Callithrix jacchus: one gene and its partner. The protein of the gene in region 1 interacts with the protein of each later gene in a pairwise test. Links are inferred from orthologs where the notes say so. Each region holds a gene or a part of one and is shown in the gene's direction. Other genes may lie near its edges.

The links. The genes of interacting proteins can lie anywhere in the genome.
Region 2: the proteins of A2M (region 1) and C10H11orf58 interact in a two-hybrid assay, tested with the Homo sapiens proteins (2 studies listed by BioGRID and IntAct). The link is inferred for Callithrix jacchus from reciprocal best matches to the Homo sapiens genes A2M and C11orf58.

The regions. Positions count from the first base shown.
Region 1 is NC_133510.1:23,784,692-23,792,212, reverse strand, and holds part of A2M (alpha-2-macroglobulin), read left to right. Parts: intron 1-704; coding exon 705-888; intron 889-2,021; coding exon 2,022-2,181; intron 2,182-2,347; coding exon 2,348-2,400; intron 2,401-4,191; coding exon 4,192-4,212; intron 4,213-4,486; coding exon 4,487-4,655; intron 4,656-5,118; coding exon 5,119-5,203; intron 5,204-6,595; coding exon 6,596-6,716; intron 6,717-7,521. UniProt on the Homo sapiens protein: Is able to inhibit all four classes of proteinases by a unique 'trapping' mechanism. This protein has a peptide stretch, called the 'bait region' which contains specific cleavage sites for different proteinases.
Region 2 is NC_133511.1:82,760,128-82,768,238, forward strand, and holds the start of C10H11orf58 (small acidic protein), read left to right. Parts: upstream 1-3,731; coding exon 3,732-3,794; intron 3,795-8,111. Other genes in the region: uncharacterized protein LOC144578134, read right to left, coding at 1,282-1,333, 3,375-3,733.

The DNA.
Region 1 (7,521 bases):
AAAACTACAAATTGATCATAAATTATATATCAGGGTACTGAGCAAGTTTCTGTACTGCACATGAGTTACCAAGATCTAAAGTCCATCACTAGAGGACATTTCTGGATGAAGCCATTGTCTAATCATGAGCTGAAAGGCAAATATCTAAAACGCAAACATCCATGATTAGGTAATGCTCTAAAACTTTATTAGTTGCTTACCACAACTGAGACTTTAAAGTGATGGCTCCCTTTGAGGCTCAGATTCCATATCTTTGGAGTGGAAGCAAGTATTAGCATACAATTTTCATAGGGCTGCTGAATGTGTATATGTATGTGTGTGTATAGTTTTTGTAATGTCTGCATGACTGAGAGCTTACGTTTTACAGCAATTTGAAGATAAAATAGATTTACAGCATCCGCAAATGTAACTACATATTTTTATTTGAATTCGGATATTCACAAATTGTTTCTTAAAGAGAGGTATGCCTACAAGTTTTAATCTGTTTAAGTCCTACCTCAAGTAAAATGTTCACTGCCATGGCATGTGAGGGAAAGGGGGAATAATTCTTATGCATGGCCTTCAACAGCCAAATTTCATGCTCCTCAGTATGTCTTCTCTTGGTGTAGAACAGATGATGATAATTACTATGATGGAAAATAGTGCTGTTAATAGCAGTGCCTGCCTTCCTTTACTTTCCGCTAACTGAACCATCTCATTCCCAGGCAGTATATGGTTCTGGTTCCCTCCCTCCTCCACACTGAGACCGCTGAGAAATGCTGTATCCTTATGAGCTACCTGAAGGAGACAGTGACTGTAAGCGCTTCCTTGGAGTCTATCAGGGGAAACAGCAGCCTCTTCACTGACCTGGTGGCAGAGACGGACGTGCTCCACTGCGTTGCCTTCTCTGTGAGTGTGGCTGTTTGACTTCCTATACTTGGTTCTTTTAGTCAGGGTCATTGGGATTTTGTATTATGTCAAGATGAGGGTTTGGGAGGCTGGTAAGAACTTCCAGAAGGAATCCAAGTGTAGCAAACTAAGTATAGAAATTGAGGAGCAATGCGTGACTCTCCAGCCACTGGAGACAAATATTTTTTACAGGCACACTAAAAGTCAGCTTAATAATTAAATAGGAACCCTATCAGCCAGAAAGAAAAAAAAGACAGTGTGACTTCTTAAAATTAAGATAGAAAATATATTAATAAAGCATATGAGGCCAGGGCTCAACATGAGCCACCAGTGGTGGACTCACAGGAACACGTCATTCCACACTACTCCTAAGAGCAAAAACTGTAGAAATTACCCTGAGCGAAGGTGTAGTATCTCTTCAGAGTTGCCCACATGTGAGATGCTTACAGCCTAGTGTCAGTAAAATATAGGGTTTTTTTTTTTTTTTTTTTGAGACGGAGTTTCGCTCTCGTTACCCAGGCTGGAGTGCAATGGCGCGATCTCGGCTCACCGCAACCTCTGCCTCCTGGGTTCAGGCAATTCTCCTGCCTCAGCCTCCCAAGTAGCTGGGACTACAGGCACGCGCCACCGTGCTCAGCTAATTTTTTGTATTTTTAGTAGAGACGGGGTTTCACTAAACCAGGATGGTCTCGATCTTTTGACCTCGTGATCCACCCGCCTCGGCCTCCCAAAGTGCTGGGATTACAGGCATGAGCCACCGCGCCCGGCCCTAAATATAGGGTTTTTTAATACCCATAAAACATGCTTCGACCATGCCCTTTTAGCATGTAATATCAACCTGGTAAAGCTCACTGCCATGTATAGTTGAATCAAGGCGTTTTTTTCTGAGCTATATGAAGATATGAATCTCACTTACAACCTCTCTTACTAATGTATGTTTCTCCACCTTGTGTCCAGTCTCCCCGTTTGTAAAATGGTAGAAGTGATTCTTGTCCATGCCAACTTTCCCTGCTGAGAACAAGGGAGTGAAGTGAAGTAACAAGGGCAAGGTCTCCAAGGAAGAGTAGAACAGGAAACAGGGGAGGAGACCTGCGGGTGCTGAATGGGGTTTCAGGATCTGTCCTATATTTCAGGTCCCAAAGATTTCATCCAGTGAGGAAGTAATGTTCCTCACTGTCCAAGTGAAAGGACCAACACAAGAATTCAAGAAGCGGACCTCAGTCATAGTTAAGAATGACGAGAGTCTGGTCTTTGTCCAGACAGACAAATCGATCTACAAACCAGGGCAGACAGGTATGAAGAAGCCTACAGTTGGGACAACTTCAAAAAGGAAAGTTCTTCTTCCATTGGGTGGTCCCCAGGCAAAGTTCCTATAATCTTGATTCCTTAAATAGCTTATCTTACCAACCTATAGCCCTACTTTGGGTCTGGGAGCTCATGAAAAATATTTCTGTTTCAGTGAAATTTCGTGTTGTCTCATTGGATGAAACCTTTCACCCCCTGAATGAGTTGGTGAGTTTTCTATTATCTACATAAAATGATTAGCTGTATAAACAGGCTGGGAACCTGTTTTCTGTGTTGGGGGAAGACCAGGGAGAGGAAGAATCTGGTATCACTAACAGTAACTTCTGGCATTACAACAACGCAAGATCCTAATCCAAAACATCATTCCAGGTAGAGTAAGCAGGTAATTCTTCCTGTCTTGGTGCTGCTACTCAGCACAAAGCACTGATAAACTAAATGTAATCAGTTGTCACACAATTAAATTTATTTTTCAGATAGTTCTTAATTAGGATAATTAGAAAGATATATTAAATAAAAGACGCAGATAAACCCTCAAAGAACCTAAGTTCAAAAGGCATTTTAAGTATTTAGACTCTTTCTATACATACCTACCAAAATCTTTGCTATAAAGAAAAGTCAAGGTAAGTAATTTGTTCCTTTGTATGTGTGATAAGAAACAACTCTTTCTATTGTAATGCACACATCAACCCAAAGTTTTCATTTTTTTCTCCCAAATCTACTTCTTCACATTTTCTTATCTCCAAAAGAGGCAAGTCTGCTCTTCTAAATCCAAAGACAAAAGATTATAGAATAGTCCTTGTTTCTCTTTCTCTCATACCCATATCCACTTCACTGGAAAATCATGTTGGGTTAAAAAATATTCAGACCACTTCTTATCATCTGAACTACTGCTGCAAGCTAGTCCTACCAATGTCATCTCTAAATAAGATCATTGCAATAGCCTTCAAAGTGGTCTCCCGGCTTCTACTTTCACTTCTCCATCTAAAATGAAGCACCACATCCATCACTGTCAGCCTAACTCTCCTTTGTTTTTCTATTGGCATTTACCACCAGCCTATACATGAGTTTTTTAAAATCTGCCCAATTCTATTGTAATGTAAGCTCCATTAAATCAGATATATTGTTCTTTTGTGCTTAGTTATATTCTCAATATCTAGAATGATATACAGCCCATGAGAAGGTACTTAATAAACATTAGTTTTTAAAAATGAATGAACATTGATACTAGCTTCTCTATCAATATTTATTCATTTTTTGAAAGTGCTATTTATTAAAATAACATTTATTAATGAAATATTTCTGTTCCTCCTCATTCTTAGAACTACCTACAAATTCTATGACCCATCTTAATGATTACATCTGAACATACTTACTTATAGTTACCTAAGTGTTTATTTCTCAGCCTGTAAAATTGCATAGCAAAAGAATGTTCTTCACTAAGATGCTATAAGCACTTAAGAAATGTTAATAAATCCCTTTCTAGTAAATGGCACTGTACATGTAGATTTGTTGCTGATGGCCTAGTAAGTTCTTACCATTATTTATTAAGTGCTTAAAATAGATTAATGAAGAGTTCTCTAAAATTTAATCTGGAATCTTTCTGTATTTCACTATAGAGGGAGTTATTCTATATAAAACTTTTTTAGTTTTTTTAAATTTTTAATTTTTTTAATTTTTGTGGATACATAGTAGGTGTATATATTTATGGGTTACATAAGATATTTTGATACAGGCATGCATATTATTATCCAGTCATTATTTAAATCATTATCCAATCATGGATAATGATTATTATCATGCATTGCATGCCTGTATCAATAAATGGGATACTCATCCCCTCAAACATTTATTCTTTATGTTACAAACAATCCAATTATACTTTTAGTTACTTTTAAATGTAAGATTAAATTATTTCTGACTATGCTCAACCTGTTGTGCTTGTAAATGAGATTTAAGAATTTGAAAATAATTATAAACTTTCTTTCTTTTGTGTTTCAGATTCCACTAGTATACATCCAGGTAAGAAACATGAAGCATTCCATATTAGAAGGAAAGTAACACATATAGGGAAATGCTCTTACCTGAGAGGTTTTAACGACATCTCAGAAACTTGTCATTAAAGGAGAAGCCTTCCAACTCACATAGGGCTAGATGGTTATGACTCATCTCCTCTCCTCACCCTTTACCACTACCCCATTTGTCCTTTTTGTAGGTAACAAGAGTTTCCATAGATTTCTTTTATTATGTCTAATGCTCCAGGTGCTTTTGTAAATTATAATTCATTTATTCATAGGATCCCAAAGGAAATCGCATCGCACAATGGCAGAGTCTTGAGTTAGAGGGTGGCCTCAAGCAATTGTCTTTTCCCCTCTCATCAGAGCCCTTCCAGGGCTCCTACAAAGTGGTGGTACAGAAGGAATCCGGTGGAAGGAGAGAGCATCCCTTCACCGTGGAGGAATTTGGTATGGATCATGGAAAGTCATGGAACATGTTTCTTCATTCATGTTTAAACTCCTAGGGCCTGGAATTTAAGCTCATTTGGAGTCTTTCCATTTCCCATGGGTGACATTGGGCTTGGAGTAAAACTCATCACACCTAAGTCCAATGAGGGACATCAGTGATTTTTAAATAGGACTTCACATAGCTTGGTTATTTTCTATAGTAATATTTAATACCTCCCCCAGAAATTTAAACAGCCTCATTTTAATGGAGTTTTCCATAATGAATTAAGCATCTTGCAATCTCTCATAGTCACTCAGCTAAAATCTTCATTTCAGAGGAGGATGGATAAGAATATATTGGAGAGCAGAGCTGCCTTTTCAGAGCCCTAAAATATTATTAGGGAACTGTTAAAGGGAACCTGAAAATATGAATTCCTTCAAAGTTGAAAAACAATCACCAACCTTCTTTATCACCAATCAACAGTTCTTCCCAAGTTTGAAGTGCAAGTAACAGTGCCAAAGATAATCACCATCTTGGAAGAAGAGATGAATGTATCAGTATGTGGCCTGTGAGTTCATTTTTTTCATCTTCTCAGAGGAATTATTTAAAAGAGACTCACTATTTGGAATATTTTAGCTACTCCCTGTAGGAGCAGTGGCAACACAAAAATTTTAAGTGCTTTGACACCTTCTCATCTCTAGAACGTTATTCTTCTGTTGCTTCTCTATTTTTCCTTTTTATTTTCTTTCACGTTCTTATCAGCATTGTTCTGTCATGAGGTAAGGAACTGTTTCTAGAGAGGTTATGCTAATAGGACAGATTCTGAAAGTGATGAAACCGCGCGCGCGCGCGCACACACACACACACACACACACACAGAGGAAGGGTGGATAATGTTGAAGGGTATTGGCTCTGCCTTAACCAAAAATGACCAAACATTATCAGAAAGATAATTAACACATAGCTCTAGGGGAAATTCAATCATCAACAGATCATTTACCTGACCTTGTATGCTCAGTGGAAAAATCACTTAGATTCAGAATTTGTAGAGATAGGCATACAACTGAAGCCTCATCTAACTCGCTAGTCTACTTAAGGCAGGTCTACATATCTCTGCACTGACATTTTTACCGAGGAGACTGAACATGATCTCTCAAGACAGTCTCTTCTAACCTTGAAAAATCATGTATCCTGGATCTAATGCTCCTATCCCTGGTGACACACAGTAGCGGTAGCAAAAAGAGCAGGTAGAGTGAAGAAATCAGTCCTGCCCAAAGATCACACATGTAATACACCTACTATTCAGCGGGCCCCTGCCCCAATTCTGTCTCACAGTAATGGTCAAGTTCCTGGTTCCTCATAATTTGTGGGCCAGTGATCTTGCAAAAAGAGATACAGAGGACATTTTCAAATAGGAAAGGAGACAAATCCACTTGGAAATCCAGCAATCATCCATGACATATTTATGACACGATCCCACTTTTGTAAAAAGTAAACAAGTAAAACTCAATATAATATTGAGATGGCTGCACATGGGGAGAGGATGATGGAAGAAGAAGCACTATCGTACTAATAGTTTATACTCCTGGGCAGACTTGAGGGTGTTTGTTTCCTCTCTTTGCTTTTGTTCTGTTTGTTTCATTTTGCTGGTATTGTTTTTTTCTTTTAAGAACAGTTTTAAGTTTTATAATAACTAAGACTTTTTAAAGATAAAACTGAAAAACTATTAAGAAAAAAAAGAAAAGAGAAAAGAAGAATGTAGTAAATTTCAGCATGTTGCAATGGTGATTTCTATAAGAGCCATTAGTGACACTTGCGTTCAACATTGTGTGACCCCAGCAGAGAGAGAGGGAAGTACAGATGGGGAATATACTGTAGATAAAGGGGAGATATAAATAGCTAGAAAATGGGTTGGTTCAGTGTCTGCTCTGATTCCCTTGGGAATGTGTTCTCACGACAGATATACATATGGGAAGCCTGTTCCAGGACATGTGACTGTGAGCGTTTGCAGAAAGTATAATGATGCTTCTGACTGCTTTGGTGAAGAGTCACAGGTTTACTGTGAGAAATTCAGTGGACAGGTAGGTCGAACACTGTTTTTTTTTTTCCAGGAAATAACAATAAAGGCATTGTTGAAAAGCAGTGAAGTGAATTGCAGCATGGTTCTCTTCTCAGGAAGAGAACAATCCAGAAGATAATTCCATGTTGGCTATTGTAATGTTTCCAAAAATCATGAACTTAACACAATGGAAATTATTTATTGTGAGTGTTTCAGAATGATAGATGCTGAGCCATCCAAATCCTCCATGGGCATCAACTTCTACAAAGGAAGGAGAAAAACCACACACCTCTTAACTGCCTTAGCTGGCCAGGGCATCAGTTCTGCTCTCTCTGTGAGCAAGAACCTGTCACATGGCCCCACCAAGATGCCAGAGAGTTAGGGAACATGGTCCCCATATGGGAGGCCACTTCCCAGCAACAACTGAATGCTATGGAGGAGAAACCAGACTTTGATGAGGAGTTTTAATGGTCAAGAACAGATGTACTGTGTGTTTCAAAATAGCAAATGGACAGGACTTGAAATGTTTCCAACACATAGAATGATAAAACTTCAGTTGGTAGGCACCATAAATCCCACAATGCGATTATTACATATTGTATGCATGTAACAAAATATCTCATATACCCCATAAATATGTATAAAAATTATGCCTCCTTTGTGCAAAAAAAGATTATACCCCCCTGAATTTTAAGGAATTTCTATTGCATTGTATCTAAGGAATTTCACATACTAAGGAATACCTCTGTCAATTATACATGAAATATTGTTGTGAAATGTAATATTTAGTTGCTACAGAATATTTATTGTGGCCTCATCATAGAAAA
Region 2 (8,111 bases), on another chromosome or scaffold:
AGTATTAGAAAATAGGTCACACAAATCTATGAAAGAGATGACTTAATCTGAACATGTGCAGTGAGAGACTCAAACTCAAGGCTTTTCATAGCCTGGCTTTGATCAGCCTATAGGATTTTGTCTCAGAATACAATACTTTCAGGCTTATCAGGTTTCAGCACACTGGATACTAACCATTACTGAATATATGCCATATCCTACTCCCACTTTTTCAAGGCCTAGCTCAAAAACTTTTGAAGAATAATTTTCCCATTTCCCTTAGCTGAAATGAACTATTCCCACAGCATTTTATTTGTAATTTACTGATGCCATTTAATCATTCTCCTGCCAAGCTATAAAATCCTTGCAGTAAAAGATTACGCATTATTTACTCTGGTTTTCCTCAAACTTGGCACACTTCCCGACATATATGAAGCATCTTATTTAAAGTTGGGTTATACTGGCACAGTGGAAAATGCATTGGCTTTTGGAATGAGATAGACTTAAGGACTGAATCACTCACTAGCTACATTGCTTTAAGCAAGTATTTAAATTTTCTTAAGGTTAATTACCTATAAAATTACCTACTTCTTGCAAATTATTGTAAAACTTTGAGGTCAATTCTAAAAATCACCTATAAAAAGCATCTAACAAAGTATATGGTGCATGGTGGGTATTTAATAAATGGTAACTGTAATTATGACCCTAGGAATTTTTTTTAAGTCCCAAGTAAAACAGCAGATGTTTTTGGTACACAGCATAATTGTCAATGCTTTTATTTCCTCTTCAGGTTTAACTATGCTCAATTATGACTACCTCTGTTTGAAAGAATGTACTCAACAAACATCTATGACTGCCCACTACATGCTAAGTGCTGGGAAGATTAAAAACAAAATGAAAAGTTCTTAGTGATAGGGCCTCCTCTCCTTGTCTTTACTACCCAAGACAGAACAACACTGCTGAGTTTCTGAGCCTCATATATGATACCACTCTGATACTAAATAATTTAATCCTTCCTATATTAATTCAGAACATTTATTAACTACCCTGTGACAGGCATTGTGCCAGAAACAAAAATGGAGATGCAACAGTCCCAATCCTTAAGAAGGTATTTCATTGTTTTACTCGTGATAGTGTATCTTTGTTATTACAACACAAGAAGAGCATTACTGAGTTTCTGTAGCATACATGCATACTATTACACTGTATAATTTCATCCTTACCTAGAGCCTTCTGTATATGACACTGATTAAAATCTGATAAAATGTTCCAGTCTTTAGTATTTCCTATGTTACTTTTTGGTTAGTGATCTTGTTTTACAGTAACTTGAACAGCCATCCAGGTGCCAACAATTCTGGTGAAAAAATAAAAGACATATTGCTAGCTTATTAAAGTTTTCTGGACTTTCACTAATTAGTAAAATTAAAATTATATAGTAACTACTATTCTTATTGATAGTCCTTTCTTATTTCAGAATTCTTTTAGCAGTCTAAAGTACCTATTCAGCCATCTTGTTTGTTTATGGTAATACAGCTAAATCACCATTTGTCAAAACCAGTAGAGGTGAACTGTAGTCGAAACTGCAAAACTCTGTAACTTAAATGTACTTTCATTGGAATTAATAGAACCTAAGTAGAATCATGGAGTTAGTACTGAAAATATTTTAATTCTAGCAAAAAGCAAGCAACCACTTCCTAAAATAATGCTTTTTTTTTTTTCTCTTGGGTTACTCTCCTCCTCCTTTATTTATGATTTATGCTTACCACAAAACTAATAGATAAAGATGTTTTTTGTTTGGTTATACTTAAAAAAGATGACCCTGATATCTTTTTTTCTATTATACTACTTATTATTACACTATTTCTCTGCTTCCAAAATAAAGGAGAATTTGTATCTATGACTGCATAAATTAAAAAGTTACCTTCCACTGGTCACAGTTCTATCAGCGGTTCAGGGATCATTTCAAATCTAGGAAAGCAGTATTTGTACACAGACAGTCAAACTAGAACAATTGCTGAGTTTAAAAGCTAATAGTTAAGCGTTGTTTCACAGACTGCTTTCAGTTCCAAAACACTAGATATGTATAATCCATACTACTTAATTGATTTTTTTTTTTTCTGTCGGAGTCTCGCTCTGTCACCCAGGCTGGAGTGCGGTGGCACGATCTCGGCCCCAGGAAATTTTTTAAGTGTCAAGTAAAACAGATTTTTTTTTTTTTTCACAGCATAATCATCTAATAACCTCGGCTCACTGCAACCTCCACTTCCTGGGTTCAAGAGGTTCTCCTGCCTCAGCCTCCTCAGTAGCTGGGATTATAGGCGAAGGCCACCACGCTGGGCTTTTGTATTTTTAGTAGAGACAGGGTTTCACCATGTTGGTCCCCCTGGTTTCGAACTCCTGACCTCGTGATCCACCCACCTTGGCCTCCCAAAATGCTGGGATTACAAGCATGAGCCACCACAACTGGCCTAAATGATTTTTGCTTTAAAAAAAAAAAAAAAATCACGTGTGGTTAAGGTAAGAAAGCTTCAGAATTAGCAAGGACAAGGATCCTGACAGAAAGGTTCAGATCTGGTTACAGATTCAGACACCTTAATACAGGAAATAGTCTCCAGTATCTGAACAATAAACACCTTTAAATGCAGGGCTTTCTGAGTAGATGAGTGGATTACTAGAGGCTGGGAATAGGACGAGAAATGAGGAGGGATTGCTAATGGGCACCGGGTTCCTTTTGGAGTGATGAAACGTCTTGGAATCAGATAGAGGTGAAAGCTGCACAAGATTGTGAATGTACTAAGTGCCACTGCATTGTACACTTTAAGATGGTTATTTTTATATGTGAATTTCACCTCAACAATTACTTTTAAAAAGAAGGAAAAAAAAAAAAACCATAGAGGTTTTTGTGCCAGGGATGGATTTTGCTTGGTGAAGTCCCCTATAGTAAGGTGCCTAGACACCCAAGGTCAGCGAGGAGCACTCCCACCTGACACAAAGCCGTATGAAAACGTACAGATTTCCCTCAGCTGAAACCCCGTTTTCAATAACCGCCAATTAGTCAACATTTAACAACATACTGAATTCATTTCTGTGAGTATGGGAAAATAGCGAAATATACATCAGAACCTTTAGAAAGCAGCATCACCGGCCACCTAGAAATCCCCTGCGGGCAACAGAAAACTAACACCATGATGGAAATGGTAGAAGCCATTTTTTGTTAAGGTTTTTGTCCTGGGTGGAGGGTATTCGTGAGGATTCAGTAAGCCTCAAGCATTACATTTAAACACAGGTGCTTAGCTACGATGATGCATTTGCCAATAGGGCAGCGTCGCACGGTGAAAGGAGAAAAACCTCTATAAGCCTCCTTCTGTGGCACGAAGCTCTCAGCCAACGCTCACCGCCATACCCCCAACTGCGGGGACGCTCCCTCCTTCAGTCGAAGAAGGCGGGGCCTCCGAGGGCACTCCCGCCACACAGCGCGAATTGAGCCTCTAGGCTTTCTGGGAATTGTAGTTTTTGTCACCCATACATCTTTTATTCGGGCCAGTATGCAGTGAATCAGAAAACTACAGCTCCCAAAGTACCGCGGGGCGGCGAGCGGCCACAACGGTGACGACTGTGGTAGAGAAGCCCTGGAGGGGCTCTGCGTTCTGGTGTGGCACTGCTTGGGCTGGTTGCGGATTGCAGGCTGCTGGTGTTGCGGCTGAGGAGAGCGGCGAGAGGGTTTCACGTTTCTCGTCAGGATCCCCGCAAGCATGAGTGCTGCCAGAGAGTCTCACCCGCACGGGGTGAAGCGTTCAGCCTCCCCAGACGACGATGTAAATAACAATGGCGGAGTGGCTGAGGGTTGAGGCCTACTAAAGGCTTGAGTAGGCCGGAAAGGGTGGATGGAGGAGAACGCGCCTGAGGTGGCCCGCAGCGGGAGAGGCCACGGGAGAAACCAGAATGAGTGGGCAATGTCTCCCTTAATCTTTAAGAGTTGGAAGGTTTTTAGGAGGCCCACACGCTGAGAGCCGGAGACCTGAGTAGGAAGGGGGTTTGAGGAAGGAAATTCTGAGAGGGTCGAGGAGTGAAAGAGCTTAGTCAAGGGATTTCATACGTGAGTTTTGAGGGACCGATGAGGATGCTTTCTCCGGCGTTTGTACTCAGGTAGAGACGGCAAGACTCTCCCTGTTTTGGGTTCTAAATATTCCTGTGACGGTGTCGAAATGTTCGTGCACGTTTGGACAGATTTTTCCGGCCTGGATGATTTTTGCAGTGTGCCGTTGAGAGTTAACGTCAACTGCACTAGTAAGGGTAAACCGAGAACAACATTGAGCCGAAAATTGTGCCACGGGTGTAATTTGGTTCTGAATGTGGTGGTGAGGTCTAAGACGTTGAGACCTAGAAGCCCATTTTGATGTCAGATATTAATACCTCGTTCTCCTTACCTCTCCTCCCCATCAAACGCCGTTCCCTTCCCCAGCCCCCACCTTACCGGTTTTAATAGCAAACGGTTTATCCCTTAAAGTAACCCATTAAATATTTACTGCAGTGCCAGGTGTTGGGAATTCGGAGATAAATATGATGTTTATTTTAAGTCTTTTTGTATATTTGGCCTAACTCCTAGCGCAGTGTCATGGAAACATCAGGTAATCAGTAAACGTAAAACTACGTCCTTCATACAATGGATAAGTGTCTTTGGAACCTTGATGGAGAAATTGTTGGAGAGGGCGCGGTGAGGTCATCGTTAAGGATGATAAAGGAATAACTAGGATTTTTTCAGTTTTGTTTAAAGTGCTATTAATTTCTGAATACATAAAGCTTTAAATTTTTCTGGAGTGCATTTCAGTGCTTTTCATAAAATTTTAAATCTTCACTTTAATCAGGGAAGATTTGAGTATGAATGGGCATCTAGAGAAATTTATCGGTGCTCTTTGTTCTTTCTGCTACTGGCTTTTAGATCTTGTTAATATGGTAATTAACGTTTTCTCAGGAATTGATTCATGCTTTTGAGTAACCTGGCTGCCATTTGAAAAGCTGTTACCTTGTTTTCCTCCTGATTTGTAACTGTGACTTGATTGCTAGGATGTCAGGCACCTGTTTTGCTACACTCAGAAATAATATTTTAGCATGACAGGAAACCGCAGGTGATACGCAATTTAACAGAAAGGTAGAGATTAAGTTTACAGTTCTGAAAAGGTCACTTTAAACTAGATGACCTTTAAGACCTTTCCTGGTCATATAAGCCTATCTTTAAGTACCTGTGTTTTGTTTTTGTTTTGAGACAGGGTCTCACTCTTTTCCCCAGGCTGGAGGCCAGTGGCATGATCAGTGCTCCTTGCAGCCTCCACCTCCCTGGCTCAAGGGGTCCTCCTGCTTCAACCCCCTCTCCCCCTGCCACCACCACAGTAGCTGGGGCTACTGTGGTGTCCCAGCTGCAAGCCACTACATCTGGCTAATTTTTTGTGTTTTTAGTAGAGACGGGGTTTTGCCACGTTGCCCAGGCTGCTTTCCAACTACTAGACTCAAGCAATTAATTCGGCCTCCCAAAGTGCTGGGATTACAGGTGTGAGCCACCTCGCTTAGCCAGTACTTTAAAAAAAAAAAATTTTTTTTAAACCATATGTAATGCATTCATTAAAATACCTCCAAGCTGTTGTAGAAAATAAGCTAGCTATAATATATAGTTGGGCCACAGTTTCTAATGAGTATCATAGTATGTAAGAGATCATTAAAGTTTTCTTATGCCCATTGACCTCACATCTAATTGGGGTAACAAAACTTTTTTTAAATATTAAAAGTCGATACTAAATCACAGAATACAAATCTAGAAAAATGCTGACAATGTAGCAGTAAATTCTAAGAGTCACTAGGATATATATTGATAAATTAATTGCAGGTCTGTAGTAAAAGGTATTAAGGATGAAGACAACCTAAAAGTAGTTTCATTGGCTTGGAGTGGAGAAATGAAAGCTATCTTATAGGGAGTGGGAGGAGTGGGGAGGTTGGGAGAGGTGCTAAGGAACCTCTCTTAAATTGTATAGGGCATTAATGTGCTTTTCAGAATGCAGCATTTGGGCAAAGTACTCGCTGTTGTACTTTAAGGCAGGAGTCCCGAACTCCTGGGCCACAGTACCAGGCCACACAGCAGGAGGTGACCTATGGGCCAGCCAGCAAAGCTTCATCTGTATTTACAGCTGCTCCCCATGGCTTGCATTACCTCCTGAACTCTGCCTCCTGTCAGCATTAGCTTCTCATAGGAGCGTGAACCCTGTTGTGAACTGCATATGCAAGTGATCTAGTTGCACACTCCCGGTGAGAATCTAATGCCTGATGATCTGTCACTATCTCCCATTACCCCCAGATGGGACTGTCTAGTTGTAGGAAAAGAAGCTCAGGGCTTCCACTGAGTCTACATTATGGTGAGTTTTATAATTATTTCATTATCTATTACAATATACTAATAATAGAATTAAAGTGCCCAATAAATGTGATGCACTTAAATCATCCCAAAACCATCTCCTCTGTGAAAAATTGTCTTCCACAAAACCAGTTCCTGATGCCAAAAAGGTTGGGGACTGCTACTTTAAGGTCTTTGAAAAGAAGAACTGGCAGGACTTAATGTTATTTTCTTAAAACATTGGGATTAAAAGTTGTAGATGACAGGGTTATTTATATAAACACCGAAGATGTTTTGCTCTTTTAATAGAAACGGAATCAAGAAAGTTGGTTTTTAGACAATTTTTTTAACTTAATTCTCTACATTTTTATAACAGTAGTTAGTTCATAGACCACTTTCAGTATTCTATCTCATTTGATCATGGAGAATATGATGTGGAAAAAACAGAGGATGGTCAGAGGATTGAAGCAAGTCACTTAGCCTCTCTGTGCCTCAGTGTCTTAAGACACTTTAAAAGAGGCCTCTCTATAGATAAGAAGTTAAAATTAAATGTCAGATCCTGGCTTACAGAGTCAGAACTGAAGCTTCGCTATTACTTTAACTATATTGAGCCAGCAATAGGTAAGAACTAAATGGCCTGTAATAATATATCAAAGGTCACATGAAAAGAAGTAGAGATTTGGAACTTAGGAAGCCAAAATTATGAGAGCATATAAGCCCTTCCACTAATGAGAATTTAGAAGCACAAATGGGTCCAGATAGGTACAAATGCTTTAACTCGCATATGCCCAGGAGAAATAGTGTTTTTTTAATATTCTTTTAGTCTTTTACAAATAATTTTTAGAAATAAGAATAAAAGGGGATAATGCAAAACAACTTTATTAGGAATTTTAATGTGAATTTAACAATAACAAATTCAAATTTATAAACTATGTTTCCTAGATTTTGGTGGTATATACAGTCATCGTTCAGTATACTAAATGTGGGAGATTAGTTTTAGGACCCACCCACCTCCTTGGCAAATCTTGCATCAAGTCCTGCAGCCAGCCCTGTCAAACCCAAGAATAGGAAAAATCAGCCTTCTATATACTTGAGATGGATCTGCATTTGGTTGAAAAAAAAAAAAAAACAAATTATAAGGGACCCTTGAAGTTCAAACCTGGGTTGCATTTGCATCATCAAAATACAATACTTGAAGAATTTTTGCAACCTTCTATTGCCTACAATTTTGTGTTGAAGAAGGATTTGTCATCCTTGCTTCATAATTGCAAAACATTTTTATTTTTAGATTATAAACTTAATTAGAATGATAAATTCAGTGAATATTAATATTTTTATTTCATTTTCCTTCCAGTCACCTTGTATATATGCCTGTCTTCACCCTTTGTCCATTTGCAACCAAATCAAGTAAATTTTCATGCATAAAAATGGTAAAAGATGAGATAAAACAGTAATGCCTCCTTTTAGAAAATGGGATCATCCTGGCTCTTACTGCAAAATATTGCAAGATGAAGTCTTTCTTGCCAATGGCTCTCCCAGTGAGAGTACATATCTTGTTTGCTTGTTTTTTTTCTTTTCCTTGTTGATTCTTGGGTGGGAAAAAAGCCTTCTAGTAATCCTCATCCAAAAACTCATAGCTTGAGATTTTTGCACAGTCAATTTTATCATCATCGTTAGTCTAGAATACAACTGCCTGTCATTCTGCATTCACTTTCTTCTTCGTTTAATAATGGTTAATGCCTTCTGTCAGTAT